Linked DNA regions of Oryctolagus cuniculus. The protein of the gene in region 3 purifies or fractionates together with the protein of the main gene of each other region. This does not show direct contact. Links are inferred from orthologs where the notes say so. Each region holds a gene or a part of one and is shown on either strand. Other genes may lie near its edges. The genes, in order: ATP5F1C, ATP6V1F and ATP6V1A.

Evidence for each region.
Region 1: the proteins of ATP6V1A (region 3) and ATP5F1C fractionate together in Homo sapiens (co-fractionation; 3 studies listed by BioGRID). This does not show direct contact. The link is inferred for Oryctolagus cuniculus from reciprocal best matches to the Homo sapiens genes ATP6V1A and ATP5F1C.
Region 2: the proteins of ATP6V1A (region 3) and ATP6V1F fractionate together in Homo sapiens (co-fractionation; 3 studies listed by BioGRID and IntAct, with this or other methods). This does not show direct contact. The link is inferred for Oryctolagus cuniculus from reciprocal best matches to the Homo sapiens genes ATP6V1A and ATP6V1F.

Annotation. Positions count from the first base shown.
Region 1 is NC_091444.1:75,502,678-75,512,598, forward strand, and holds the start of ATP5F1C (ATP synthase subunit gamma, mitochondrial), read right to left. Parts: upstream 5,355-9,921; 5' UTR 5,240-5,354; coding exon 5,184-5,239; intron 1-5,183. Other genes in the region: KIN (DNA/RNA-binding protein KIN17), read left to right, coding at 5,501-5,614.
Region 2 is NC_091434.1:165,050,839-165,060,770, reverse strand, and holds ATP6V1F (V-type proton ATPase subunit F), read right to left. Parts: upstream 4,710-9,932; 5' UTR 4,505-4,709; coding exon 4,347-4,504; intron 2,388-4,346; coding exon 2,186-2,387; 3' UTR 1,886-2,185; downstream 1-1,885. Other genes in the region: protein SPMIP1, read right to left, coding at 878-1,298; FLNC (filamin-C), read right to left, coding at 8,968-9,155, 9,322-9,531. UniProt on the Homo sapiens protein: Subunit of the V1 complex of vacuolar(H+)-ATPase (V-ATPase), a multisubunit enzyme composed of a peripheral complex (V1) that hydrolyzes ATP and a membrane integral complex (V0) that translocates protons.
Region 3 is NC_091435.1:69,749,031-69,759,016, forward strand, and holds the start of ATP6V1A (V-type proton ATPase catalytic subunit A), read left to right. Parts: upstream 1-4,600; 5' UTR 4,601-4,873; intron 4,874-9,986. Other genes in the region: NAA50 (N-alpha-acetyltransferase 50), read right to left, coding at 4,501-4,535. UniProt on the Homo sapiens protein: Catalytic subunit of the V1 complex of vacuolar(H+)-ATPase (V-ATPase), a multisubunit enzyme composed of a peripheral complex (V1) that hydrolyzes ATP and a membrane integral complex (V0) that translocates protons.

The DNA.
Region 1 (9,921 bases), on a different chromosome or scaffold from region 3:
TTCATGCTGTGCGCAATGCTTAATCTTCATTTAGTTATTAAGATGACTATGTCACTATTTTATTTTTAAGTATAATTTGACTAGAGAATAGCCATGAGCTACTTAATTACCATTAGAGAAATCTTGCACTAACGAATATACAGCTCTGAACATGAGATGATAAGGAAAGCTCTGAAGTATTTCAGCCTGTCCTGAGAATTCCTCAGGAGATTATTGGAGAAACTTGAAATTTATCAAATAAGAGAGACTCAAATGCTTTGTGGATTACCATTATTTACTCTGATCATACAGCATTGTTAGAAGAGGCAGTGGAGGAGGGAGTTAGGAATGCTTAATCAAAGACCCAAGTTTTAGAGATTTTTAAGGAGTGTATAATGCTGTACAATTACAAAAATTAAGAAAGCTGCCACAGTGGCTAATTATGAAAGTATGAAGTATGTCTAATTCTCATACTAAATGCCTGCGAAGTCTATCACCCGCCTCTACACCAAAAAAAATAACTCCCTCATCTGTGATTTGTGCATTTTCTTTTCCTCCTTTGGCAAGTATAATAACGCTTATTACCTGTTTTATGTAGAAACTGTACTTCTAAACTTGTTTTTGGGCCAGCACTGTAGTGTAGTGGGTAAAGCCGCCTGCAGTGCCAGTACCCCATATGGTGCCAGTTCGAGTCCTGGCTGCTCCACTTCCGATCCAACTCTCTGCTATGGCCTGGGAGACCCAGAAGCTCCTGGGTTCCTGGCTTTGGATCAGTGCAGCTCCAGCTGTTGCAGCCATTTGGGGATGGAAGGCCCCTCCATCCCCACCCCACCCCACCCTGTGTCTTGAGCTCTCTCTCTCTCTCTGCTTGTCTACCTCTCTACCTCTCAGTGGTAACTCTTCCTTTCTTTCTTTTTTTTTTTTTTTTTTTTGACAGGCAGAGTGGACAGTGAGAGAGAGAGAGACAGAGAGAAAGGTCTTCCTTTTGCTGTTGGTTCACCCTCCAATGGCCGCCGCGGCTGGTGCGCGGCGGCCGGCGCACCGCGCTGATCCGATGGCAGGAGCCAGGAGCCAGGTGCTTTTCCTGGTCTCCCATGGGGTGCAGGACCCAAGCACCTGGGCCATCCTCCACTGCACTCCCTGGCCACAGCAGAGGGCTGGCCTGGAAGAGGTGCAACCGGGACAGAATCCGGCGCCCCAACCGGGACTAGAACCAGGTGTGCCGGCGCCGCAAGGCGGAGGATTAGCCTAGTGAGCCGCGGCGCCGGCCATCTTCCTTTCAAATAAATAAATCTTTAAAACAAACAAACTTGTTTTCATTTTTCAGCTGATACATTTAAATCTATACCGGTATTTCTCCCTCTGTCCTAGGCTCTTTGCAAGTACTCAGTCCTTACACTAAGCCAATAGAGCACTCTTTTTTTTAATTCTCCTTTAACAGAGGACAGACTGGCGGCACAGACACTAAGTAACTTGTTCAAGGTCACACAGCCATGTGAGTGGCAGCCATCAGGATTTAAACCCTGGCAGTTTGGCTCCAGGATCTACCTGTTATACATTCTGCTGCCTCGCACCTTTCTTTTTTTCATGTATATAGTTTAGTTTATGGCTACTGATGTTCCTATTTTAGAACAGTTCCTATTTGGAGAATATTGAACATTAATGCAACAAAAATCTAGTTTCTCCAGAACCAGGGACTCCTTTTTTCAAGTTTGTTTCCATTTTCTTAAATGCTACTTCTGGCCCAATTTCCAAAAAGTGAGGGTACTTTGCTGATATGAAAATATACTATTAAATAACTTTTAATTAGGTCTAATGATTTTAATTAAGTCCAATGCTTAGTTAAAGCAAACATGTTAACCTCGCTGAAAACAAACAAACAAAAATACTATAAAATACCAAATCGTATTTCAAAAGCTTTCAATTTCAATAATCAAAACAGAACCAAGGCCGGCGCCGCGGCTCACTAGGCTAATCCTCCGCCTAGCGGCGCCGGCACACCGGGTTCTAGTCCCGGTCAGGGCGCCGGATTCTGTCCCGGTTGCCCCTCTTCCAGGCCAGCTCTCTGCTGTGGCCAGGGAGTGCAGTGGAGGATGGCCCAAGTGCTTGGGCCCTGCACCCCATGGGAGACCAGGAAAAGCACCTGGCTCCTGGCTCCTGCCATCGGATCAGCGCGGTGCGCCGGCCGCGGCGGCCATTGGAGGGTGAACCAACGGCAAAGGAAGACCTTTCTCTCTGTCTCTCTCTCTCACTGTCCACTCTGCCTGTCAAAAAAAAAAAAAACACAGAACCAAGGCCGGCGCCGCGGCTCACTAGGCTAATCCTCCGCCTTGTGGCGCCGGCACACCGGGTTCTAGTCCTGGTTGCCCCTCTTCCAGGCCAGCTCTCTGCTGTGGCCAGGGAGTGCAGTGGAGGATGGCCCAAGTGCTTGGGCCTTGCACCCCATGGGAGACCAGCAGAAGCACCTGGCTCCTGCCACCAGATCAGCGCGGTGCGCCGGCAGCAGCGCGGCGGCCATTGGAGGGTGAACCAATGGCAAAGGAAGACCTTTCTCTCTGTCTCTCTCACTGTGTCCACTCTGCCTGTAAAAAAAAAAAAAAAAAAAAAAAAAAAAAAAAAAAAAAAAAAAACAAACCAAAAAACAGACCCAAGGAAATATCTTGTCATGGTTCTGTAAAGGCAAAAGTATTTATCTCCCCTTCCAAATTAACTGTGAAATGTGAAACATTAAGATGGTGCTAATTGGGCTGGCGCTGTGGCTCACTTGGTTAGTCCTCCACTTGCGGTGCTGGCATCCCATATGGGCACTAGGTTCTAGTCCCGGTTGTTCCTCTTCCAGTCCAGCTCTCTGCTGTAGCCTGGGAAGGCAGTGGAGGATGGCCCAGGTCCTTGGGCCCTGCACCCGCATGGGAGACCAGGAGAAGCACCTGGCTCCTGGCTTCAGATCAGCGCAGCGCCGGCCATAACCGCCATTTGGGGAGTGAACCAATGCAGGGAAGACCTTTCCCCTTCTCTCTATTGTCTATAACTTTGTCAAATAAATTAAAAAAAAAAAAAAAAAAAGATGGTGCTAATTTCTGAATTCAAAGGCCAAGTAGAATTTAAATTTGTATTTATATTATTCATTTACAAGGCAGAGTGACAGAGACAGATAAGCAGGCAGAAACCTCCCATCCATGGGTTCACTCTCCAAATGCTCCCAACAGCCAGGACAGCTCCAGGTTAAGCCAGGCGACTGGAACTCAATCCACATCTCTTGCATGGGTGGCAGGGAAGCAAGTAACTGAGCTACCCACCTGCTTCCTGGCAGCGTGCACACCAGCAGGAAGCTAGAATGGACAGTGGAGTCAGGACTCCAACTCCAATATGGGACACGGGTGTCCCAAGAGGTGGCTTCACTACTGTACCAAACAGCTGCTCTATGAATTATAATTCATAGGAAGACAAAGGGTAGAAGAGGCAAGAAGGACCTTAATCCAAACATCGGAATATGTGAAGAGGTTGCTTGATGAATATTCAAAACCTATCAATTTAAAACAAAAGTTCCAAAGGTATTAAGGTCAGGACTACAACCTTTATTTGCTAACTGAAGTCCCAATTTGGGCTCCATGCAGCTGCCTCAGACCAAGGGCTCTTTTTTCAAAAAAAAAGAAAAAAAAAACAACCCTACCTTTATTAAGAGACTTCTAAATTGTCTTACATGTTTTTCTTAAAAGTGACTGCTAGAAGTTCATGTAAAATATTTTTCTCCATTTCAGAAACTCTCCATTTTTAAAATATCTACTTGAAACTGTGAGTCTAAAAATACTAGCAGATAACATCAATGCAAAGGGAGATGGGAAGAAGAGGCTATGATTGCCGAGTTACATGGCTGGCCTGGAAGCTCACCAAGGCCGCATCTGTTTGTTCAAACCACAGTGTAGCACTTTTCAGTGTCAACCAGCCAGGGTAAACACTTAGCAGATGCTTGCTGAGAAGTTACTAATGGGAAAATCTACACATCTAAGAATGTGGCTGTCCTGACTTCTGAATTTCTATGAATATTCTTTCTCGACCGGAAAAAAATCTAGCTTCCACGGCCATCTCTCCAAAAATTTCACATACACAATTCCCATCATATTTAATTAATTGTACATGGCTATCACTTCTTAACGAAAGAAGTTCCATTTCAATCAATGCTTCACAGTCCCATCACAAATTACAAGAATCAAGTGTCTGGAGCTCCCTAGAAATCCCCCACACTGTAACACCAGGGGTTTGCTATGACGCCGCTGAGAGCTAACAGTCCCCTGTGCACCCTAATGTTCTCTCAGACTCTGGCTTCACAGCATTTCATCCCATTATACAGCACTACCCGCAAACACACTTTTATCTGGCCATTGCTGAAGCCGCCTAATATGCGGTCCCCCCCACCCCACCCCCGAGGAACTCAAGTTGAAAACCTTTAAAACGTGGAGCGCCCTTCACCTGCAGTTAACAAATACCACTTAAAATTCATCTCCTGAGGACCTTGGCGCAATCACATGACCTTGCAGGGTGATGGTTTCAGGAGGGTGACAGATGGCTTTCCTCTCCCCATTAGCAGCGAAGGCCTTTAAGGTCCCTTCTGCACCGAGACGACCACCACCCTCATTTTTCCAGTAACCCAGCGAAGCGCCCGTCGCATATCGATAAGCGTATTTGATGAATGTGCTCAGACTCGATTAAGTCTTAAAGGGTCACACTGCCCAGTCCTGGAAGGTTTCAAGGACACAGAGCACCACGTAACCGTCTCCTAGGCTTGATCTCACATAATCCCCCACCCCTAAGCTTGAGGACCCGGGCTAACGTCTCCCCCAGACTTGCTGCCTGGCAGGAAGCGGAAGCTCAGGAAGTCCTTATTAGCTGAATGAATTCAAGACCGCCCTGACACGAACTCGGACAAAGGTCTCAGTCCCAAGATTCCAAATGACCCCTCCAGCCTCAGGGGACTTGGCAGGGCCTTCCTCCCTCTGACAGCAGTTTCGGCCGCAGCGCGCGCCATTCCCGCTTCGGAGCCGCTTCCTGCAGCCCGGGGCTGCCCGGGGCCTCTGCAAGACACGGGGCCTAGCCAGGCCCTGCACCTCCCGGGTTCGTCCTGCACGCCCCCACCGCCTCCTCCATCCCACCTGACCAAGCTCTTCTACCCTTCACAGTTCTCCCGATCCTCCCATAAGCTGCCATACCATTGCGGTTGCAAGGCCCTGGCCGACAGCCCAGCGACGCTCGCCCGAGAAAACATGGTGGCACCGGCCTTGCTGAAGGTCGGGCAGACAGGGCTTACTGCGCGCGCGCGCAGGCTTCCCCACTCGCCCCTCCCACCTCGCTTGCTACAGTAGTCTCGCTTGCTCTCGCGAAATCTCGCGAGTGGTGGGGCCCAGCCTTCCCCGAGGTCCCACCTTTCCCCCGGCTTGCAGCTTTGTCCCGCCTGCCCCACCAACCCAGTTCCGCTTCCGGTTGCCGGGGTGCTGAGGTTCTGAAAGTGGTCTCTGCGGTGGTCGTGATGGGGAAGTCAGATTTTCTTACTCCAAAGGCCATCGCCAACAGGATCAAATCCAAGGGGCTTCAGAAGCTACGCTGGTATTGCCAGATGTGCCAGAAGCAGTGTCGAGACGAGGTGAGTGAGCCCGGGTGGCTCCCTCCCTCCAGGAGGGCTCGTCGCTGGGGGTGAGGGTGCAGGTCTCAGGGGCCCACTAGTGAGGCTTCTTTTGGGGTCTGCGCTGGGTGAGTCAGCTGCGCAACTCAGTGGAGTCATCTTCCCTGCACCCCCGGCTCCACGGGGACCTGGGGGTCTTCGACACCCCATTCCTCCTAATCCACCTGCCCCGAAGATATGAATTCGGAAAAGTTTGCAGCTCCGGTGTGGAAATGGATAGTGCGGTGCCAGCCGTCCAGGCGCTAACTAACCTGCTCTCTGACTTAACATGCCTCTTAAGAGAAAAAGCATGATTAGAATTCAGGATCAGGTGCAGAAGGAAAACTAAGCTCTTCCACGCTGCATATCTAACAAGCATTTGTGGAGTATTGACTGTAGGATAGGCTGAGTTCTATCGTGGTCGAAACTGTGGACTTATCCGGAGCCGCACTGTCAAAATTAGGCAGCCGAGCCATGCGGCTTATTCGTTGTGTGATTTGGGGAAGTTAACGTTGTCTTTGCCTGTTTACTTCTCTGTAAAGTGGAAATAATAATTATACCTCCTTGTAGGCTTGTTTTAAGTTTTTTAAATCAATGAATTACATGCGAGGTGGTTTTGGGAGTCCTAGAACAAGCCTTGTGTATCAGGCTATGGAGTTTATACTTTTCCATTAAGTGAGGTGGATGATGGAACCCAGAATTGAAGACCTTGAGAGCAGGCTAGTGACGTGATCATATTTTTTCTTTGGAGATTAGATTGGATAGTAATGAAAGAACATAGAGGCAACTGGAATAATCGAATCCAATTTCTGCACATGAGTGAGATGTCTTAGGTTGGACTCACATTAAACGGCTTCTGTCTGGCATTTCTCTTTAGTTCTTTCTGTTCTAAGTCAACATGAGGTTCTCACAAAGAAAGCCAGAGACTAGAACAGTGAACAGCCATTTGTCCACTCCCCAGTGTTGTCGTCTGCTTGGATTACAGTACCAACACCGTGGACCGAGTGGTCTGTTCCTCACAGTTGCAGAGCCTGGGCAGGCTGAAGTCAGGTTCTGGGATAGCAGGGTTTTGGTGAGGACCCTTTTCCTGGGTCATAGGGGATAGTCCTTCTTTATCTTTACAAGGTGGGGAGAGAGCAGCTCTAGCTCTTTCTTTTTTCCCATATTTTATTTATGAGAGAGGGAGAGACACAGAGAGAGGTCTTCCATCCGCTGGTTCACTCCCCAGATGGCTGCAACGGCTGGAGCTGTGCTGATCCGAAGCCAGGAGCCAGGAGCTTCTTCCAGGTCTCCCACGCGGGTGCAGGGCCCAAGGACTTGGGCCATCTTCTACTGCTTTCCCAGGCCACAGCAGAGAGCTGCATCGGAGGTGGAGCAGCTGGGACTCGAATTGGCACCCATGTGAGATGCTGGTGCCACAGGCGGAGGCTTAGCCCACTATGCCACAATGCTGGCCCCCTCTAGCCTTTTTTTTTATATAAGGGTAATAATACCACCACAGAGGCTCGACCCTGGCAGTTTTGTCTAAACAAAATTACCTCCCAAAGGCCCCACTTCCACTTCTTTTTTTTTTTTTTTTTTTTTTTTTTTAAGATTTATTTATTCATTTGAAAGGCAGAGTTAGAGAGAGGGAGAGAGACAGAGATTTCACTCCCAAATGTCTGCAATGACCGGGGCTGCAAAAGGTCCCACTTCTAATGTCTTGTTAAGGATTAGGATTTCATTGTGAATTTTGGGGGACACAGGCTTGCAGTTTTTTTTTTTTTTTTTTTTTTAAGATTTATTTTATTTATTTGACAGAGTTACAGAGAAGTAGACACACACACAGAGAAAGAGGTCTTCCATCCACTAGTTCACTCCCCATATGGCTGCAACGGCTGGAGTTGAGCTGATCCAAAGCCAGAGCCAGAAACTAGAAGCCAGGAGCTTCTTCTGGGTCTCCTGCGTGGTTGCAGGGCCCAAGCACTTGGGCCATCTTCTGCTGCTTTCCCAGGCCACAGCAGAGAGCTGGATCAAAAGTGGAGCAGCCGGGACTGGAACTGGCGCCCACATAGGATGCCAGCACTGCAGGCGGTGGCTTTACCTGCTATGCCACAGTGCCAACCCCAAACATGCAGTTTTAACAGTTGATGTATTTTGCCATATTTTCTTTAAAAAAAAAAAAAAATGTCACCTGAGAGGCAGTTCACTCCCCCAAATGCCTGCAACAGCTAGGGCTAGGCCAGGTTGAAGCTGGGAGCCAAGAATTCAGTTCCAGTGTCAGGGACCCAGCCACTTGAGTCATCACCTGCTACCTCTCAGAGTGTGTATTACAGGGAAGCTGCAACTAGGAGCAAAGCCAGGAGTCAAAGCCAGGCTCTGCAATATAGGATGTGGACTCCAGTACAGGAGGCAGGTGTCCCAAGTGGTGATTAACCACTAGGCCAAATGCTCACCCCTGCCATACTTACATGTCACTGAAGTGTTTTAAAGTAAGTTATAAATATCAGGGTATTTCACCTCTAAGTACTAAAGTGTGCATTTCTGAAATGTCAGGATATAAGGGTGGAAGTTAGGACACCGTTAGGATGCCCGTGTGCCTCGTCAGATCGAGTTCCTGGTTCAGGACGTGGCTCCACTCCCCATTCCAGCTTCCTGCTAATGCAGACCCTGGGAGGCAGAAGTGATGACTCAAGTAATTGGCTTCCTGCCGGTCGTGAGACCTGAGCTGAGTTACCGTCTTGCAGCCTCTGCCCCATTCGGGGGCTGCTGCAGATTTCTGGAGAGTGAAGCAGTGGATGGGAGCTTTTTTCCCCCCATCTCTGCCCATCAAATGAACATCAGTTAATCAATCAATCAATACAGTATCAAAATAACCACAATATAGGTCATCAATAGGACAAAGCTAGTAAATTCCTATCATCTACACACTCTATATTCATGCTTCCTACTTGTTGCCCAAATTATTTAAAAGCAGTTTTTTCAAACCAAAATTCAATTAAAATCCATAAATTGGATTGGTTGTTAGGACTTTTTTTTTTTTTTAAATAGACTTTACTTTTTAAGTTGTTTTTGGTTTACAGCAAAAAGCAGCTGTAACACACTCCCAAACACTCCCCTACTTAACAACATCCTTCCCTAGGATGGTACATTTGTTATAGTGGATAAACCTACATTGACACATCATTATCCTCTAAAGTCCATCTTACATTAAGGCTCACTCTTGGTATTGTACATTCTGTCAGCTTAAATAATGATGGGAATCCACCATTATAGCATCTTACAGAATAGTTTCTGGCCCCCAAAATCCTCTGTCTTAGGTTATTAGAACTTTTAATTCTCTCTCTTACAATTCTAAATTTGTAACAGGATCCCTCTCCCCTTTTTTCTTTTTTTTAATTTTAAAAAATTTCTTCTTTTCTTATTTATTTTTTTTTTCTTTGTGTTGATTTGTGAAGGAGGCCAGTCAGTTGTCCTGTAGCATTCCCACGCTATGAACGTGTCTTTGGCCTTCATCTTCTAGCTCTTATAGTTCCTGTCAACTGGAACTTGGATATGAAGACTTGATTAGGTTCAGGTTAAGCATTTTAAGGAACAATATTTTGTAGGTGACCCTATGTGTTTCATATTGCCTCACATAAGGAAGTCTGTACTGTTTAATTATGCTAAGATGATTAAATAAGGCTGACAGCCTGTAAAGTAATATTTTTCCCTATGTGAGAGCAACTTTACTAGTGGGTTACTATTTGAAATCATGTCCATATATCTAATTACCCATTAACCTTTTACCTGTGTATTGTAGCATCCTTATCTGAGTCAGTTATTTCATTAGGAGTTGCAAAGTGGTTTTCTTTTTTCTTTTTTTTAAGATTTATTTTATTTATTTGAAATACAGAGTTACAGAGGGATGCAGAGAGAGAGAGTCTTCCAGCCGCTGGTTCACTCCCCAAATGGCCATGGTGGCCGGCCTGGGCCGATCCGAAATCAGGAGCTGGGACCTTCTTCCAAGTCTCCCAAGCGGGTGCAGGGGCCCAAGGACTTCCCATAGCAGAGAGCTGGATCGGAAGTGGAGCAATTGGGACTTGAACCAGCACCGATGTGGAATCGTGTGGCAGCACTTCAGGCCAGAGCTTTTAGCCATCTGCGCCACCCAGCCTGCAAAGTGGTTTTCTAGTTATGTGTGCATTTATTATTTGAAGCTATTCTTTTGTAAAAATGAGCTTTTGTTCATCAACTTGGCTGTTTGGTTATGTTTAAACTTCATCCTGAAATGTAATTCCTATTGGAAAAGAACAAGTTTTTTTTGTTGT
Region 2 (9,932 bases), on a different chromosome or scaffold from region 3:
GCACAGACAGCCAAGGGATGCAGCAGCCCTGCCGGCCCACTCCTCTCCCCACACACTGACTCATCTCAGCCTCGCCACTCCCCAGACTCCTCCCCTCCCAGCCTCAGGCAAACACACACGGTTCTAGATGGTCTAGACGGTTGGCCTTCCATCTGCCGCCCCTCCTATCGGATCCCCGCAGCCTGGGCGCCCCAGCTGACGTCCCTGACCTCACAGAGCTAAGTAGCACTTATAATGACTACTCTTGACTGTACGTTCAACTCTGACCTCACTCCTGAGAGCCAGACTGACGCACACAGCTGTCTCCCTGGTACCCAAGCACAGCCCTGGAGCCAGCGCACCCTCCAGCCCTGCCCTCGCCAGCCCTATCCTGTCACAGCAGCTCCAGCCACACCGGGGCACCGCCATGGACTCCCTCGGCTCCTTACTCCCACACTCAGTCCAGCAGTGAGTCCCACTGAGTGTTCCTCCGGAGTACCCTGGATTGCAGCGCTACTGCTAAGCCTTAGCCCAGGTCACGGTCATTTCATGCCAGGATAACTCAACACAGATGCCTAACTCACCAGTCTCCAATTCTCACTAAAGGAAAAAAAAAAAAAAGCCATTCCCTATAGAACAGTTGGGGTAATTCTTTTAAAAAAAGCCAATCAGGACCACCCACTGCTTAAAACCTTCCATTGGCTTCTCAATAAAATCCCAACTCCTCTTTGTCATGCAGTGCTCAGCTTTCAGGCCCCAGAGGCCTCTCCCGAGCCCCCAGACCTCTCCATGGTGCCTGTCCCTCTTGTACCTTCCCTTCTCTTCCTGAATGTGCCCGCTCCCTGGCACCTGGCGCTGCTGTGGGGCAGGTGCCTAACCTGCGGGGCTCAGGGCTCACCGAGCTGCCAGCCGTATGTGAAGCTGGTGGTGATGGGGAAGAGGTAGCGTGTTTCGGGCAAGTCCAGCTTGCGCGTGCTCAGGTAGCGGTAGCGGCCCTGGAAGTCGTGGGAGATGCCTTCGTACAGCAGGGCCCGGGTGGCGGGCAGCACCGGGTACATCTCCGACTGCAGGGGAGCCTCTGCGGCAGGGCTGGGCGCCTTGGGAGGGGCTGCTCCGGGGGCAGGAGGGGGTGCGGGTGGGGCCGTGGGCTGCAGGGTGGGCAGTTTGAGGGGCAGTCGGGCTGCGGCCTTAGCCTTCTGCTTGGCTTTCACCAGCGACCCGTACTTGCGGTGCCATTCACAGCGCAACATCTTCTCCCTTAAATAGTCCTCCTTCCAGAAGTTCTGCCGCAGCGTGTCCATGTTGAGCTGCCGAGACATGGCGGCAGGGGGTGGGGGAGCCGTGCCAAGGGCGAGCACGGCAAGCACACTGCGGCTGGCAGCAGGTGGCCGCCCTGGGGCAGTCACCAGGCAACCAGGCCTCACCTCACACAGGGGCAGGGTTCCACCTGCTGCGCCCACACAGACCTCACACGCCCCACTCCTGAGGCAGCCTGGAGCCCGGGCCCAGTGCTGAGATCCTGACACCGGCTGGCGCTGCAGGCCCCGGGCCCAGTGCTGGGATCCTGACACCGGCTGGCGCTGCAGGCCCCGGGCAGGATCTGGTATCACCGGCTCCCAGGTTTCTTGTGCTTTCTGCTAACTTCCCCCGGCTCAGGCCCCCTTCTGCCCAGTGCAGACTGAGGCGGGAGAGCCACAGGCTGGGCTCAAGCCTCGTACCCCCACCCCCCCAGCTGGTCTTTTTGAACCAGAGGGCCAGTGCCTGAGTTAGGGCCTCCTGGCACATCTTCCTGGGCCAGCTCGTCCATGCCTGGTCCTTGGTGGAACATTTTCCACCCCTGCCAATCTCATCTCCCCCAGGAGCCTCATCTCCCCCCCCCCCCTTCCTGTCCAGTACCCAGGCCCAGTTTTTGGACAGAAGCCAGAATATTACTTTAATTTAACATGGACAACGACACTGGGCGACAGCACGGGGAAGAGGTCGTGGAGAGAGAAGACGGTCAGGCCTCCTGTTCCCTAACCAGCCTGGCTTTTAATAGCAGCATCCCAGCAACCTAGATGCCCCTCACACAGCCTCTCCCTGGGGTGGGAAGGAGTGGAGACGTGGAAATCAGAGGCTTGAACCTTCAGAGCGGGGCTGGGGACAAAGCCGGGGAGAGGCCTGGAAGGGCGGGAGGGGCTGAGGGCCGTGCTCCGCGGGGCGTGTCCTAGCGCAGGTCTTCGGCGGTGAACATGCCCCTGGCCCTGCGCAGGATGGAGTCCTTGGCGGCGTCATAGGGGTGCTCCTTGGAGGGGATCTCCAGCACGGCCGGGATGGAGCGCTGGTGGGCGTCCAGCGCGTGCCGCACCATCTCCGCGATGTACTGGTTGATGAGGATGATGCCGACGTCGTCCCGGCTGAGAAACTGCCTGCCGGGAGAGACGAGAAGCGAGTCCGGGGCAGCTCCCGGCGGCCCGCTCGGAACTGCAGAGGAAGAGGAGTGACCCGGGGAGCAGAGAGGACCAGGGCAAAGGTGGAGTCTGCTTGACCCAGAATCAACTGCACTCAAGAGCTCAGGGTTCTGTTAGCCAGGGCCTGCTTGTACGCCCCTGCCTGGGGAGCTTCCGAGTGAACCAAAGCTGAAGATGAGGGTGTCCACGCGTGCGCTCAGGGTGCTGCCCTGCTATCAGACAGGGAAGGGTGGGGATACGTGTGGGGCGGGCATTCGGCTCAGCGGTTAAGATGCCACTCGGCCTGGACTTGGGATGCCAGCGCTGCAGGCGGCGGCTCAACCCGCTGTGCCCCAGCGCCAGCAACTATGCATCCCTTCCTATCTGCATGAAGAGCTAGGAGAGTGATCAGGCAGAAGCTAAATGGCTGTCTACAGGAGCAGACAGGGAGATGGGGTGTGTGTGTGTGTGTGGCAGGAGGCTCCTCAATGTACACCTTTTTTTTTTTTTTGACAGGCAGAGTGGACAGTGAGAGAGAGAAAGGTCTTCCTTTGCCGTTGGTTCACCCTCCAATGGCTGCCGCGGCCTGTGCGCTGCGGCCTGCGCACCGCGCTGATCCGATGGCAGGAGCCAGGTACTTATCCTGGTCTCCCATGGGGTGCAGGGCCCAAGCACTTGGGCCATCCTCCACTGCACTCCCGGGCCACAGCAGAGAGCTGGCCTGGAAGAGGGGCAACCGGGACAGAATCTGGTGCCCTGACCGGGACTAGAACCCGGGGTGCCGGCGCCGCAAGGCGGAGGATTAGCCCATTGAGCCGTGGCGCCGGCCTCAATGTATACCTTTTAAAAACTGAATTGGAAACCACATGAAGGCATTCAATGTCCAGAGGAAACCAAATCCATTACATTTTCGAAAAACAGGACCCAGGGGGCCTCAAGGTCACCATGTCTGTGCTAAGGGAGGACGGGGTGCCTGGCCCAGGCCAAAGCACAGGTGGGAAGAGGAATTCAGCACTGAAGGGCTCGCACTTTCCGCACAGACGGCCCTGGCCCTGCGGAGCCCTGGCCCGGGACGGCCCGTGCGTTATTTCTCAGGAAGAGCTCCGTCCTGGGCACCCACCCTGTGCCCGACCCTGTGCCCGGCAACACTTGATCTCGAAGTTTCTTTTTGGTTGGAAGCATGGACAATCCTTGGAGTAAAATTCCTCCTTGTCCCATGACAACCCGGGTCACCCTGCCAGACTGCTTGGTGATCCGCAGACAGCTGCCTCCCCAGGGCAAAGCCCCACGGTACCCCAGGCAGCAGAACTGGTTTCAGCCAGCAGCTGTGGGCTGGGCTGTTTAGGGGGAAACAAGTGAGAGAATTCCTGAGACTCGGCAAAGGGAAGGGGTGAAGGAACCAGGGCAGCTCCATTCTAGCACCAGGACACCTGCGGATTAAAAGGCTCAGCTGCGACCGTCGCCCCTGACCCAGGGCAGGAGAGGAGGACGTGAGGTGCAAGGTGTGAGCAGCCCTGACTTTGGGTACCACCACCTGTAAATGGGAACACTAACCCCCACCTTCCAGGTCGACTGGGAGCCCCTAGAGGATGTGGAAGTAGGAGAAAGCCCGGCTCCACGGGTGCGCACCGAGCGCAAAGCAGCCCAGCGCCTGCAAGGCTCGCAGCCGGCTGTGCCCGTCACCAGCTCTCTTCCTCTTCTTTCCTGACACACGGTCATGTGAGAGGGAGCGCGCGGACCTGTCACGACCACAGCCTCAGGCCCACCGAATCGCAAGAGGGAACGGGGGACGGGGGGCGCAGAGGCCTCCAGGCCGGCGTGAGGAGGCCCGCCCTCGGGTCGGGGTCTGACACCTCGGTCCCCGGGCGGCCGCCCCTCGCCCCTTCGCTCCCACCCAGGCGGCAGAAGGGCCCGTTCAGGCCTCTCAGGCGACCGTACCGGAAAGTGTCTTCGATCTCGGTGATGGTCGTGTCCTTCTCCACCACCAGGAAATTAGGGTGGCGGTTCTTGTTAAGCTCCCCGATGCCGCCCAGCAGGAAGCCAGTCACCGTGTCCTCGTCTCCGATCACCGCGATCAGTTTTCCCCTCCCTGCCATCCTGGTCGCGGCGCAGAGAGCGGCCCCGAGCTCCCGAAGTCCCCGAATCCCAGCTTCCGCACCTGTAGCCGGGTTGGCCTCGCCCCCGCCTTTCAGACATGCGCAGTTCGGCCACACCGCCTCCAGGACATGCGCATTAACAGCAAGGCCGCCTCAACCTGAATATGCCTGCGCCATAAAGAGAGGCCGAACCCGAGGACTACGATTCCCAGAAGGCTGAGCGGCCGCACGGCTTCCTATTGGCGTTGCTTGGTTCGTTCTGCAGAAGCAGCGCTGTGGGACCCCGCAGGAGAAACTGCACTCGCTGTTCTCAAGGGCAAGAACATGTCTGTATCATGTATGTATGTATGTAGCCATGACTCATAGTTAACAGTTACTGAATACAGAAAGTTTGTGGGAGAATGGAATTAGAAGTTAAACTGAGGGGCAGGTGCTGTGACGTGGTAGGCTAAGCACCCACCTGTAGCGCCTGCATCCCAAATGGACACTGGTTCGAGTCCGGGCAGCTCCACTTCCGATCCAGCTCCCTGCATGGCCTGGGAAATCAGCGGAAGATGGCTGAAGTGCCTGGGCCCCTGCACCCATCTTAAGTGTTCAAGGTAAGGCAAAAACCACTTGCACTGGAGAGTATAGGGCATTCAGGAAAAGTTAAAGAATCTGGAGGTTTCCCTGAGGACAGCGGTTCTAGAGCTGCCCGTGTGACTGTGGTGCACAGAGGCGGGGCTGCAGGAGCAGAGAGCACACTGGGACGCCTCTGTGGTTAGAGATGGTGGCCGATTTCCAGCAGTGGTCATAGAGGAGGTGGCTGGAGAAGAATGGACAAACCCTAATTGTTTTAGAGGCAGACATGGAGAGAAAGCCCCCTTTCACTGCCTGCAACGGCCAGAGCTGCGCTGGGCCAGAGCCAGGAGCTGGTAATGTGACCCAGGTCTCCCCTGGGGGTGGCAGGGACCAGTTACTGGAGTCATTGCCTCCCAGGGTGTGCGTTGTCGGGACGCTGCAGCCAGGAATTTGGCTCAGGTCTTCCTGTCTGGGATGCGGGCCAGGCCACAGCCAGGAGTCAGGAGCTTTATCTGCGTCTCCCACATGCACATAGGTGACAGGAGACCGAACACTGGGCCATCTTCTGCTGCTTTTCCCATGCCATTAACAAGCAGCTGGATTGGAAGTGGAGCAGCTGGGATGTGAACCCGCTACATCACAATGCCAGCCCCTGGATTTGGGTGTCTTTTTTTTTTTTTAAGATTTATTTATTTATTTAAAAGGCAGAGTTATGGAGAGGCAGACACAGAGAGAGAGAGAGAGACAGAGAGAGAGGTCTTCCATCCACCAGTTCACTCCTCAAATGGCTGCAACAGCTAGAGCTGGGCCAATCTGAAGCCAGGAGCCAGGAGCTTCTTCCAGGTCTCCCATGCAGGTGCAGGGGCCCAAGCACTTGGGCCATCCTCCACTGCTTTCCTAGGTCATAGCAGAGAGCTGGATTGGAAGTGGAGCAGCCAGGACTTGAACCAGCTCCATATGGGATGCTGGCGCTGCAGGCGGTGGCTTTACCCGCTATGCCACAGCACTGGGCCCAGAGTTTGGTGTCTTAACCACTAGGCTAAGCACCTGCTCCCAAACTGATTTTTGCTTATTTTATTTATTTGGGTGACAAGGAGAGAGAGAGTGCGTGAGCGAACAAGTAAGCTCTGGGCCAGGCCAAAGCTGGGAGCCAGGAACTCAATCAAGTCTCCCGTGTGGGTGACTGGAACCCAATTACTCAAGCCATTACCCGTGGCCTCTCAGGGTCTGCATTAGCAAGAGGCTGTAATTGGGAGTAAAGCCGGTAAAGTGTTGAACCCAGGCATTTCAACATGGGGTGCAGCAGTTCCAAGCAAGATCTTAACAGCTGTGCCAAACACCCACCCCCGAAACTGGTTTTTGAGTCGAATGTGGAGAGCAAGGTGGAGAGGCGCCCAGGTGATTCCCAGGTTTCTGGTGTGTGCAGCTAAATGACATGAGGAATGTTCCGGAAATAGTGGACTCTGTGAGATGAGGAGGTTGAAGGGGAAAGGACCACTCATTTATCTTCCCTTTCAACAAACGACATCCCCAGCGTCGGGCACGAGCTGTGTGTGAGGAGCGCGTGAGATGCCCGCATGGCTGGCCCACGAGAGGCCTGGGGTGTGCACACCCCTGCGTTTGAATGCGGGCCCCTCACGTAGCAGTGGGTGGCTTTGGGCCCAGGACCTCCATTCTCAGAGCCCGGGTTTCTTCAGCTAATCCTGCGCCCACCTCACAGGGCTGTTCTGGGGATGAAGTGAGAAAGGGCCCATGAATACTCAGCACCCAGAGCCCCGAGCGGCTGGGCTGGAGACCCGGAAATGCACCCACACACACAGTCGGCAGGCAGCAAACCCTCAGAGGAAGCCCTCCATGCAAGGGCGGGGGGCAGGAGGGGTGGGAGGAAGGGCCTGCCCCGAGCCCTGGGCGCAGTGCCTGGCGCCCAGCTGGCCTGCGGGGGTCACGAGTGCCGGGTGCTTAATAGGACACAGCACCTTCCATGCGCTTGCCAGTCACGGAAGGGGCAGGGACAGCGTCACACTCATCACCCGCTCGCTCTTTCCTGCAGCCACCCTTTATCAAGTGGGATTATCATCAGGGGCCGAAGACACAGGGTTGGTAAAAGGGAACTTCTGTCCTCAGGAGCTTCCTGCGGGGCCTGGGGGCAGGGTCCAGAGCAAGGAGGGCAGGGTCCCTCCTTCCCTGAGCGGGAAGAGAAGCAGCTTAAAGGGTGAGGAGGCGGGGAGGAGGTGGTTACCAGCTGCAGCTACAAGTGTTTCGGGTCTTCCCTGGTGCACCTGCCACCATGCGCCACAATGCCTGGGGACCGGCATGGGATAGCCAGGCCCACCGAGCAAGGCGGGTCCTGGTCCTGCTCAGCCTCTCGGGTGCTCTTGAACTGAGTCATTGGCACCCACAGAAGGGCCTCCTGGCCAGGAGCTGTCTGGCGGCAGAGGCCAGATCAGAACGGTGAATGCAGCCTGGGCCGTATGGAGGCTGGGTTGCTGAGCCAGGGAGGGGGCCAGGCAGCTTCCTGTTGGCCAAGAGGAATGGGGGACTCATGAGGCCGAGAGGAGGGGTTGGAGTGGATGGTGTGGAGTGGGCACACTGCCTGAGTCGCACCGGTGGAGGGGCTGGCAGTGAGCCTCCTGGGTCTCGGCCTGGAAGAGTAGGCGTTAGCCGGGGGCAAGAGGGAGCCACAGAAAGGCACAAACCACAGCCGGCCACAGTGCGTTCAGGGTGCCCCTCCTCCAGCTGCAGCCCAGAGGGTGGGCTGGAGGGAGCTGGCCAGGGCCAGGGGGGCCTAATGGAGGCGGCTGGTCCAGGAATCCGGGCCCAGGCAAGCTCAGGGCTACAGGTGGGGGTAGCGCAGGCCCAGTCTGATCCAGACACTGAGGACAGGATGAACTAGAACTAGCCATCTAGGGCAGTCTTCTAAGACATGGAGTCCCCCCACCCCCACCCTGTACTAGCCACCAACCCTCTAGCTAAGGACCAAGCCCTCATCCCCAAGCGGCCATCACAGGTTCTTCCAAGCATTCGGCCAACAGCCCAGATCTTGCCCGAGCCCGGGCCTGTCCTCTGGGGATGGCGATCCAGCCTCCGCCTGCCCAGGACCGCAGTGTCGAGAGGCTGGAAGGCCGCCAGCCCGGGGCGCGCACTCACAAGCAACAGCCGAGCCTCTGCGACAGCCGTACTTTATTTGGAGTTTTCTACCTAGGCAGCTCCCAGATGAGCCGCAGACATGTGCAAAAATCCCCCCAGAAAGCTGGGCCTCGCAGTGTGTAAAAAAGGCCCCCCATGGGGCAGAGCTGTGCAACCGTAAAAAAAAAAAAAAAGGAAAAAGAAAAAACGGAGAGAAATCAGTCCCCTGGGAAGGCTGGGCGGGGTGTGCATCGCTCGGGCAGTCCACGGGCTCTCGCTCCGGGTCTGTTTTCTTCTCTGATTGTGCCTTCTTTTCCAAGTCCTTCCACGCTGGGGGTGTGGCCACCAGGGGGGCCAGACACAATCCTCAGAGCAGGCCTTCCCCTCCCCGCCCACCCGGGGCCAGCAGTGTGGTTGAAGGATGACATCTGTCACACACACAGACACCTCCAACAATGTGCTCTCCTGGGGACTCAGGGCTTGCCCAACCCCCTGTCCAGCCTTTGTCCCCGGGCCTGGCCCCAGTCTGCCCTCATGCCACGTTCAAGGGGAGGGACACTGTCCTGAGACAAGACAAGGCACTCCACCCATCAAGGGCACGGCAGCAGGGTGGGGAGGCTGAGCCGTTCGCTGCACACCCAGGGCAGGCGTTGGCAGTGTCTCATTCCACACGTGTGCATCTGGGTGTGGCGTGTGTGTGTGTGTGTGTATGTGTGTGTGTGTTGTGTGTGTCTGGCCGGAGGAGGGGGCGGAGGCTGGGGGAGGCACTTCTGGCATTAGGGCACATTGACTTTGAAGGGGCTTCCGGGCACGCTCTCGTCGCCCCACTTGACGATGAGAATGTAGTCCCCTTTCTCCTTGACAGTGTAGGTGACGTTGTACACCCGGTTCCCCATATGCTTCACATACACCTCCTCGCAGGGGGTCTTGGGCCCGTGCACACCCACCATCATCATGTTGGTGCCTGGAGAGGAGGTGGAGGGACACACTCACGCTGGGCCCCCACAGCCCGCACCCTGTTCCCCCCACGGCCCGCACCCTGTTCCTGGCTGCTGCTTGCTCCCACCCCCAGCCCCTGCACACACGAGCCCACCCCGAGAGAGCACGTTCCTCTCCCCCCTCAGGCCTGCCTGCTTTGCTGCAGTCCACGGTGAAGGAATTCTTCTGACCCACAAAGGCCTGGGACAGCCCGGGGCCCCGCGTCACCACCTTGCTGGCATCCGAGGAGAACTTGGGGATGGAGCTGTAGCTGGAGCCACGGCTTGAGGATGACTTGGTCACGGTCTCCACCAGAACCGTGGACGTTTCATGAAGGCTGTGGCCTCCAGACAGCCGGGGACCTGCGGGGCAGGGCGGGATGTGCAAGAGCCTGTGAGAGGGGCTCCCTGCCCCTCCCCAGGCAGTGGGCCCCCAGCCAGCACTGACAGCCCCGCGGGACTCAGTCCCAGGCCACACGGCCTGCACCAGGCGCCTGCCTCCCATCTTTAGGCCGAACGCCTGCCTGAGCTACCAGCTGCGATCTACTCTCTCAGCCCTAGGTCTTGGGCCTGTGATGGCTCCGTCTCTCAAACCTTTAGGCTCTGTCTGCAAACTCAAGTAGCTCACAGAGTGAGGGACCCGTGCTTCACAAAGGAACGCACGCCCAGGGCAGTGGACCCTTTGGACAGCCTCAGCTAAGTATTCACTGTCTCTTCTTGGAAGCAAGAAGTGTGGGAAGCCAGGAGGGAGTAAAGTTAAACTC
Region 3 (9,986 bases):
CTTCCATGGTTCTGTCTCTCACTGCATAATCTTTTATCTTAATTTTCTATTCTAGTAACATCTGGTCAAAATAGCATCTTTCAATGATTCAATTAGTAAAATACACTGTCCTGTATTTCTACCATTGCTATACCTGCTTTCCCATCTTCGGTCACATGCATTCACATCTCATTAAAGACATTTTTATCAGGACAAATCTGCACTTCTTCACTATGAAGGATAAATGGATTTTACTATTACATTGTCACCTTAGTTGCGCTGTCTATGGCACACCTGGTTGAATATCACCTTTCTTAGGAAGAACAGCAGATAGGAATAATCAGCTTATCATCCACAAATTCAAGCTACAATTTTGCTGGTTCTCAGGAATAAGCAACCTCAGTACATAGGAGGCAGCATTTCTTAATACACAAACTTCATACAAACACACATATAAACACACCCTGTAGTTAGTAAACAGCAATGTATCTACTACAGAGGAAAGGAAAAACACATGCCAATACAATGGAATGTCCTATTGCTACTACTAATAAAAATTCCAGTAGCAAAAATATGAAGAAAATAGTTTCTGATTTCATGTATTTCTATTTAACTTACTGTTCAGCTAGCTAAAATACAATAAAACACTTAGCAAATAAAATTTCATAACAAATACACATAACTGAAGATGGCGCTGTGGCCTAGTGGGTAAAGCCACCACCCGCAGCACCCGCCATCCCAGAGGCTCCACTTCCGATCCAGCTCACTGCTAATGCAACTGGGAAAGCAATAGAAGATGGCCAAGTGCTTTGGCCTCCGTACCCATGTGTGAGACCTGGAAGAAGCTCCTAGCTCCTGGTTCAGACTGGCCCAGCTCTGGCTGTTGTGGCCATTTGGGGAGCGAACCAGTGGATGGAAGATCTCTCTCTCTCCAACTCTACCTTTCAAATAAGCAAACAAATCTTAAAAAAAAAAAAAAACAACTTAATCACAATCAGTTTCACTTTCACAGGCTTTTCCAAATGGAGTCGGGACACTGGCCACATTACAAACCGGTGATACAAGTTTAGGAACTCAAGGACCTTAGCAACTTTTAAACAATTTAGTACATCCTGCCTGCCTTCATTTTTCAGTGCCTTGGACACAGACTTAGAAGCAAAAAAAAAATTTTTTTTTGAAGTCAACCTTACAGTTCATATTGAAGGTTAGACTATTCTTAAGAAATCATCTTTTAGTTCACAATGAAGGGGTCGACCACTGAGGAGCAGCAGGTTAAACCGCCATCCTCAGTGCCAGCATCCCACTTGGGAACCGTTTCTGGTTCGAGTCCCAGATGCTCCATTTACGATCCTGCTCCATACTAATGCGCCTGGGAAAGCAGCAGAAAATGGCCCAAGTCCTTGGGCCCCTGCACCCACTTGGGAGACAGCTCCTGGCTTCAGCTTAGTACAGCCCAGGCGGCCGTGGCCATCTGGGTAGTGAACTAGTAGATGGATGGAGTATCTCTCTCTCTCTCTCTTTTCTGACTTTCAAATAGGTAAATAAATAAATCTTTAAAAAGAAAGTTCATGGCCGGCGCCACAGCTCACTTGGCTAATCCTCTGCCTGCGGCTCCGGCACCCTGGGTTCTAGTCCCGGTTGGGGCGCCGGATTCTGTCCCGGCTGCTCCTCTTCCTGTACAGCTCTCTGCTGTGGCCCAGGAAGGCAGTGGGGGATGGCCCAAGTGCTTGAGCCCTGCACTCGCATGGGAGACCAGGAGGAAGCACCTGGCTCCTGGCTTCGGATTGGCACAGTGCGCCGGCTGTGGCGGCCATGGGGGGGGGGGGGGGATGAACCAACAGAAAGGAAGACCGTTGTCTCTCTCTGTCTCACTGTCTAACTCTGCTTGTCAAAAATAAAAAATAAAAAGAAAGTTCACAGTAAAAAACACATTGTAGGCTCCTAATCCTAAATGATAGGAACTACATGTAAGGACTCTTCATGTATAGTTGCTTTACAATCATTTATCAGTACTGACTCATTAACTCTAACAGTCCCCACGAACTCTAGCCAGTTATTCATTTCTAAGAATCTGCCCATATCAGGTTATGCACAAATATCCATTTTAAATAAAAAGACAATAGCTTCCTGAGTATCTGCACTCAAAGTAAATTGTGAATAATATCTATTCGGTTCCAAGTCTAGCCAAGGTAGTACCTATGAGAAAGAACATTGCATCCCATGAAGACTGAGCTAGATCAAAGATTTTGGATCTAAACATCCAGAATAATTTCTTAGGACCCTCCTTTAAATCCACAGCACAGTTCAAAATTAAAAACTCCTCAACTTTATCATTTTAACAGAACAACAAACATGTATTGAGTGTCTCTGGTAAAGAAAATACACTAAGAGACATCATCCATACTCACGTTCAGTCCAGTAAAAACCAAACAAAAAAACTCTGAAAACATGTTGGATCATATGTAAAGTAGTGCAACTCCCTAGATCAAGATTCAAGGAGTATATAATTCCCATACTCAATTAATTTTTATTGGAACTCTTTAGAACTTGATATGAAATAATTAATGTAGGTACTGTGAATTTGCTTCCTAAACTTTATTTAAAGCAAAACCACAGTAAAGTAACTTGTTACAGATCCAGTATCAAATTAAACTTTCTTGGAATTTCTCTTGAGACTTCCAACGGAGATACACAGATAATATTTAGACCTGTTTTACGCAGTACCGAGTACACATTTCATCCTCACGGGAGCCGCTGAGTAGTCTAAAGACTTCACTAATTTACAGCGTAGCTACAATTCTTCAACTGACTTATGTTAATAGAAAAAAACCTCAGGCATTTCAGAGATTTAACATTTACAAGCTTCCATTTCTCTCTCTAAGGACTGTAGGGCAAAGCTCCAAAACGGCTGATTTAGGTAATGCAATTTAGGCTAACACAATGCTGTATTACTAAAACTGTAATAATACATAAAGTAATGGTAAATAGACATTTTATCCTAATGGGAATAGTCGTACCTAAACAATCCTTAATTTTATCCGAGAGGGAAACCGTGATCACCTAAGGAAAGCATTGTGGTAACCCACGACCCCCCTCACACTACTCAGGGGCAAACGGTGAACCACTGAAGCAACAGCTCCACCTACTGATGCACAAGACTTCCTTAAACGTTTTGGCATCCCGAGTCTACAGGGCTCGCGCGCTCTCCCCCTCCTCCACTCGCTGACCCAACCCAAATCCAGTTGAGTCACTAGCTCTTAATACTCATCCCCAGGCTCTTCATTCCCGACCCTTCTCCCTCCAGAAGATTCTGCAGAAATCCCACGTGTGAACAAAATGGGAAGGTTGTCAAAAACGGCGGCCGCAGCGCCGAGCCTGCGCCTGGAGGACAAGCAGCCCCTTTCCACCTGAAGTGGCGGGCCGCGGCTGGCTCAGCCGTGCGCTCCCCGGCAGGAGGCCCCAGGCCTCACAGTGGCCTCCGGGCCCTGCCGCTGGCCTCCGCTCAGCACACAGTCGTCCTTGGGGCGCCGAAATCCTGCGTTCCCGGGGTCTCGCCTCCCTTCGTCCTTTAGTCTAACAGCCCGCGCCGAGCCGCCGCCCCCTCTGGGAGCGGAGCAAACAGAAAAAGCCTAAAAGCCTCCGACCGCGCAGTCTTCGCCCTGGACTCCCCTCCTCCGCGGCTCTCCCATTACACGGGCCCGGCTGGGCCCCAGCCGGCTGTCCTTCCTCACCCTTTCATCTTCCCCGCCTGCTGAGGCCGTCGTTACCGCCGCTATCAACGCCGTCGTCGTCGCCGCCCAGAGCCCTCAGCGCTCTCAGCTCGGGCCACTCAACCTCCCGAGCCGGCCTCCTCGCTCCGGGCAGGGAGCGGAGCGTGGGACTGAGACCGCGACAGCCGAGCACGGCCCTGTGCCTCCGGAGGGGGTGGGAGGGGTCTCCCGCCGCCGCTAGGGTGCCTGCGCTGCCCCACACGTGCACCCGCGAACTCGGCTCCCGCTGCCGCCGCCGCCAGCCAGCCCCGCCGCCCCGCTGTGACCTTTCACCCCGCCCCCTCTGCGCGCCGGCGCGTCCGCCGCCCAGCGCGCAGCCGCACTACTCGCCTCTGCGCACCCTTCCCCCTCCTCTCCAAGACCTCCATCTTCCCAACTGGGCTGCGCCTTCGGGCGTCACGCTGCTGCTCCTCCTACCCGTTACGACAGCAGCTGTGGGGCTTGCCTGGTAGGCCCGGGCGGCGAAATCCGGATTTTTCCACCCCTCCCTCGTCGCTCCCAAATCAGCAAGTTCAGTCTTTCCCGACCCTGTTCTTTCTAGTTGATGGTCACCAGCTAGACCGCCAAACGCTTTTGTCTAATAGGGTTTTGTAAAGCCGGTTCCTGTAAGTGTAAACAAGTGTGGAAAGCTCAAGTCAATGAGGTGCTTTAGAAACAAACGTAGCTAACAATCGGCCGGATAACTCGCTACCCCAGGCACACCGTTTTGAGATCACGTGACTAGCCTAAGCCTTACGGCCTGGGACTTTACCGGCAGGCGCCAGTGGCTCGGAACTCCATCGCCATTTCCGGTCCGTGGAGCTGGGCGTGAACGTCACTTCCTTAGCAATGCACTTTAACCCTTGCCATCCGCACTTTTCTCCATTGCACTCTGCAACCTAATCGTGGTGAAAACTTAGGCTTAGTTTTTGTTTTGATCGCTAGAAAAATGCGTATTCAAGCGATCCGTAAAAAACGCAAACCCCCGAAATGCAGCGCGCCGGGTTGGGGGCGGCGGGGCGGAGCTCGAGGTCACGTGAATGGTTAGGCCCGCCCCTCCCCCGCAGCTGAAGACTTCCCCTCCCGCAGTGACAGAGCCTCTGGGTCGGTGATCCGTATTGCTTGTGCACCTCGCGCCCCAGCAGGTGAGCGGCGACCGGTAACTGGAGACTGGTGGGGACAGCCCAGGGGGTGGCAGGAGGGAGAAGGGGGAGTGTGAACAGCGGCCTCCGTTGCCCGGCTCATCCTTCCCGCTGTCACTCTGCGCCGGCAGGGAGCTTATTTCTCCATGTCTCCTGACCCCTGTCCTCCCATCCCTCCTACCGTGGTCGCCCCTACTACCTGGAGGTTGAGGTGTCCACTTTTTCCTTGTTTGGGAGTGAATGCGGTCATTATCGTACCCTCTTCGGAATCTTTGGGGCTCCGTGTAGTAGAATTGGTTCATCCATTCCTTCGGGGGAGGGGGGTTTGCACTGCCACCGGGTCCCCATTCCCCAAAGCTCATTCCTCGGTCAAGGCCCTCGTCCGGGGCTGGGGAGCTGGAACGGTGGAAAAACCCTGGAGGCAGAGGCGTCTCCTGCGAGACAGGCTTGGGAGGGAATGTCACTGATGTGGCCCTCGCTGCGGAGTCACGCGAAAGCTTCCCTCTGAATGTGCTTCCTCAGTAATTCTAAGGATCTTTATCTGACATCCTCGCAAGAGAGATTCTGTAGGTGTTCCTAGGCTTCGGGTGGGCCTAGAAGGGTGAACGAGGAAGGTCGAAGGCCTAACTATCTCCAAAACAGGGAGTGTTGGGACTGCGACATTCTCGATTGAATGGGGAGGCGTTGAAAGATGGTGTTGCAGCGTCGTGGTCCGCGGGAGGCTCAGGCTAGCTTATGGAAAAGTGCCTACGTTTCCCTGCAAGGGAAACGGAACGGGCTGGAAATAAAAGTAAACCAGATTTATTTGACTGTAAACTTAAAGGTAAGAAGACTAAGTCTAGATATTGTTGACTTCATGTTTTCTGCTTCTGTCAACCTTTTTTTTTTCCTGTTCCTCCCTAAAATCCTACTTAATTGCCACTCCCAATCGATGCCTGGACTAGCTTTGTGGTATATGTGTGTTAAGTAGTGCTTTTCTCTCTCCTTAGCTTTCTCCATTTGTAAAACTCCAAATGACCTCTTATTTTGATGAATAATATTTTGTGGACATACAGAAATTGTTTTGCCTAGGATTTTGCCCAACCTATTTTGCATGTAATGTGGTAGACAGTGTATTGACCCCAAACAGAATGCTTTAGGGAAGAATGTTTTTCAGTTTTGGGTTAAAGTATTTTATTTGTACTACCAACTCAGAAAGCTCCTTGTTTCTTTTAAATGGAAAGGTGTTGTAAAAATGACAGACTTGATTTTTTTAAAATTTTCAATTAGAATGAAAAATTCATATTCTCAGCTAAAATGTTGCAGTTTTCTAACCAGTGAAATTGAAGAATCCATTAGAAAGACAGCTGAGAAATGAGGAAGATGGAATCGTCTTTGGTGGATGTGACTGACTTAATTTTATTTTTTCTGTATCTTCCAAATTCTTTTCAATAAACTGTTATGAAGTTTACCGTAGAAAAACTGGCCTTTTGGTGCTCCTTATTGGAAAAACACAATCTTGAAGATCTTGCTGTCTTCAAGTATTGAAGAAGATTACTGAGGGTGGGTGTTTGGCACAGAGATTAAGCTCTCTCTCCCTCTCTCTCTGCCTTTCTAATAAGCACAGATTTAAAAACAAAAACAACCACAAGAAACAGAAGAGGAAAAAGCAACAGTTTTAGCATGTTGTACTTATATGTTGTTCATACTGGTCAATAACAGTTATCTATTGAAATGTTTATTAGGCATGCCTTCTACAGATGCAAATACAATTTTATTAATGAGTTTTTTTTCCAGAGTGAGGTTTCCTGATCTCTAGAGGAGAGAAGGGGGGTGGGGAAGTGTTGCTTCATTGCCCAGGTGACCTTCTACCAAATAGCTCCTTGAGCACTGTGGTAGTCCAAACCAGTCCTGTCTGGGTGAAACCAAAACGGGAGAGAGAAAAACCAGCTACAAAGCATTGAGTCCTAGCGGGGTGAAATGTCAGTATTGAAGAGGTTGAATGAGTTTGCAGTTTTACTTCACAATTTCTCCAACTTTAGGGAACTTATGAAAGCAGTAATGGAGATCACTGAGGAAATCTGACAGATGAGCAGCAGGAATTGGTGACTACATTGCTTCTGAGACTGAATGGGGAAAAGAGCTTTAACATACACAATGAAAACCTGCGCATGCGCACACACACACACACACAGAGGTCTTGAAGCCTGGAAGACATTTCTTAGAGTAGCTTTATCTGTCTATGAGTGTTATATGTTAAAATCCTAACATTTATGTAGAACATTGTGCTGTAGTCCACCACTCAGGAGCACATAGGGCTTTTGTGTTAGCGGCCTTCCTGTGAGGGCTTGTTTTCACCGCCTTTACAGATGATCTCCACCACTGAGAATGCTTTCTTCCCCCCGGGCAAAGGTAGCCACTCAGTTCTGTCAACTATTGCATAGTAATTTCTGTTCTCTTTTCACTTCCAGCACGTTGCAGTCTGTGGCCTTATTTTCATTTAACCATAAAGATCTTAGGGGTTCAAGTGCAGTGTCTTTCCTGTGTGTCTTGAACACCAGAATGCTGAAGTTCCTGATAGGTACTTACTAAATTGTTTAAATGAGTGTTGGACAATTAGACAAGGAGATGAAACCATTTTACCTGTTGCAGTTCCTTGTACCTTCTAAGGTTGTGCAGTCAACATAAGCTTGCAAATGCCACTTGTTAATGATAACCTTCCAATGTATAGTCAATGGAATAAACATAAACCTGAAATGAACATTGTTAATACAGTGACCAACTTATTTTCACTTCATATATGTGTATTTAATAACAGATATGGTTACCGTTCAAATATGGGAAGGAAGGAAAGAGGATTGAGTTGTGCTCAGTGAAAAAAGTGATTGTGTATGGGCTACAAGTGGTATAATGCTATATTAGAAGTCAGAGGATCTTCATTCAGCTCAGCCACTTTAGTTCCATACCCTTTAAGCAAAGCTGGTCATAGGAGATTACAGGTTTGATGCTTAGGAACCCTTCTCTCGCAGATGTTGTGAAGTTGAGTAAGATAACCTTGATAATAATCTATGAGACAGTATTCTAAGAACTAAGTGGTATGTGACTGTAAAGTAATATAGTACAGACTTTACAGGAATTTCTTAGTTTTAGAGAACTGGGTTCAACTTCTGACCCTGTCACTTATGAACTATGGGACGTTGGACACTTATATCAGTTAAGTTCCTTTATGCTTTACTCTTTCAAATAAGTGAGTTTAAATTTGATTACAGTCTTACAGTATTTAATACTTACTTTTGTAAATTTTTTATTATTAACTTTACTGACATTTATTTTGATTTTCTGTACTGAGTTTCTAAAGGAGACCTTACACGTTCCACAGAATTGACTAATACCCCCTTCTTGACCAACAGCACTAGAGTATAGGGAAGGGAATAGAATTTTTTTTTTTTTTTTTTTTTTGAGAGAGAGGACACAGAAAGTTCCCATCTGCTGGTTCACTTTCCAAATGCCCACAGTGGCTCTGGCTGGTCTGGGACTGAAGCAGAAATCCAGGATTGTAATCCAGGTCTCCCATATGGATGGAGGTAACACACTGAACAGAGCCATCACCTAGCCTCCTAGGGTCTACATTGGCAGGGAGGTGGAATTGGAAACCAGAGCTGAGAACTGAACCCAGGTACTCCAATATGCGATGCAAGGAGCAGAATATGAAATGAGGCTATTAACAAACAAAAAAAGGGCAAGAAAAAGGTACTTACAGCAAAGTTCTAAAGCAGAATTATTGATAGGAGCTGAGAAATACCGACATAAAGTCCATTGATTTGGCAACCACAGTCACTTAGTATTTTCTGCATACAGTAAACATTTTCCAAAGCTTGTGATCATTCGTTTGTAGGATGCATTTAAGGAAGCAGTTCTTCTGTGATTTATAGAAATATATTGTAATTGCACAGACTGTAGAACAGGGTCTTTTGTTAATCATTACATTTAAAAATTTTAAGTATTTTTTTTTAAGATTTTGTTTTAATTTATTTGAAAGACAGAGTTACAAAGAGAGGTAGAGACAGAGAGAGAGCTCTTCCGTCCTCCCCAAATGGCCACAATGGCCGGAACTGCGCCAATCTGAAGCCAGGACCCAGGAGCTTCTTCCGGGTCTCCCATGTGGGTGCATGGGCCCAAGGACTTGGGCCATCTTCTGCTTTCCCAGGCCATAACAGAGAGCTGGATCAGAAGAGGAGCAGCTGGGACTAGAACCGGTGCCCATATGGGATGCCGGCGCTTCAGGCCAGGGCTTTAATCTGCTGTGCCACAGTGCCAGCCCCTAGACTTAGGTTTCTATAAGTGCATTTTCTTTTATATGTAGTACTTATACATTATATATGCACATTATGTGAATACTTGATTATAAGATATATGCATGTCTGTATGTAAAGACATCTGAAATGGATGTTTATCTTCATAGTAACATCTTTATTTTTACCTGAAACTAGCCATTAACTGAAATTATTGGTACTATGGATAAAATCATCTAATTATTTACATGTAGATTCCTCTTTCTATTTATTTTTTTGTGGTTAATTCTACTTAATAAGTTTCACAACTGTGGTTAACCAATTTCTAAAAATGGGAGGCTGGTGTTGTGATGCAGCAGGTTAGGCCCCTTGTGATGCCAGTATCCCATATCAACAATCTGGATTCAAGTCCTCGTTGCTCTGTTTCCAATCCAGCTTGATTTTAATGTGCCTGGGAACCCAGTGGATGATAGCCCAAGTATTTGGGCCCCTGCAACCCATGTGGGAGACCCAGATGGAGTTCCTGATTCCTTTTTTTGGCCTGGCCTGGCACTTGCTGTTGCTGACATTTCGGAACATACTCTCTCTTTCTGTCTCTCCCTATTTCTGTTTCAAATAAATAAATAAATTTTTAAAATACATTAAAAATTGACATTTTTAGATTTGAATTTTAGAAACACTTTAATTCTTATATAATATTTTTATCATAATTTATCATTGTTATAACTTAATTGCAATAAAATTTTGATTCTTAATGCTGTTGGTAGAATCAGCTGTTCTTTTGATGATAAACTTTTTTTTAAGAAATTATACCAGTGCTGGTGCTGTGGTACAGTAGGTTAATC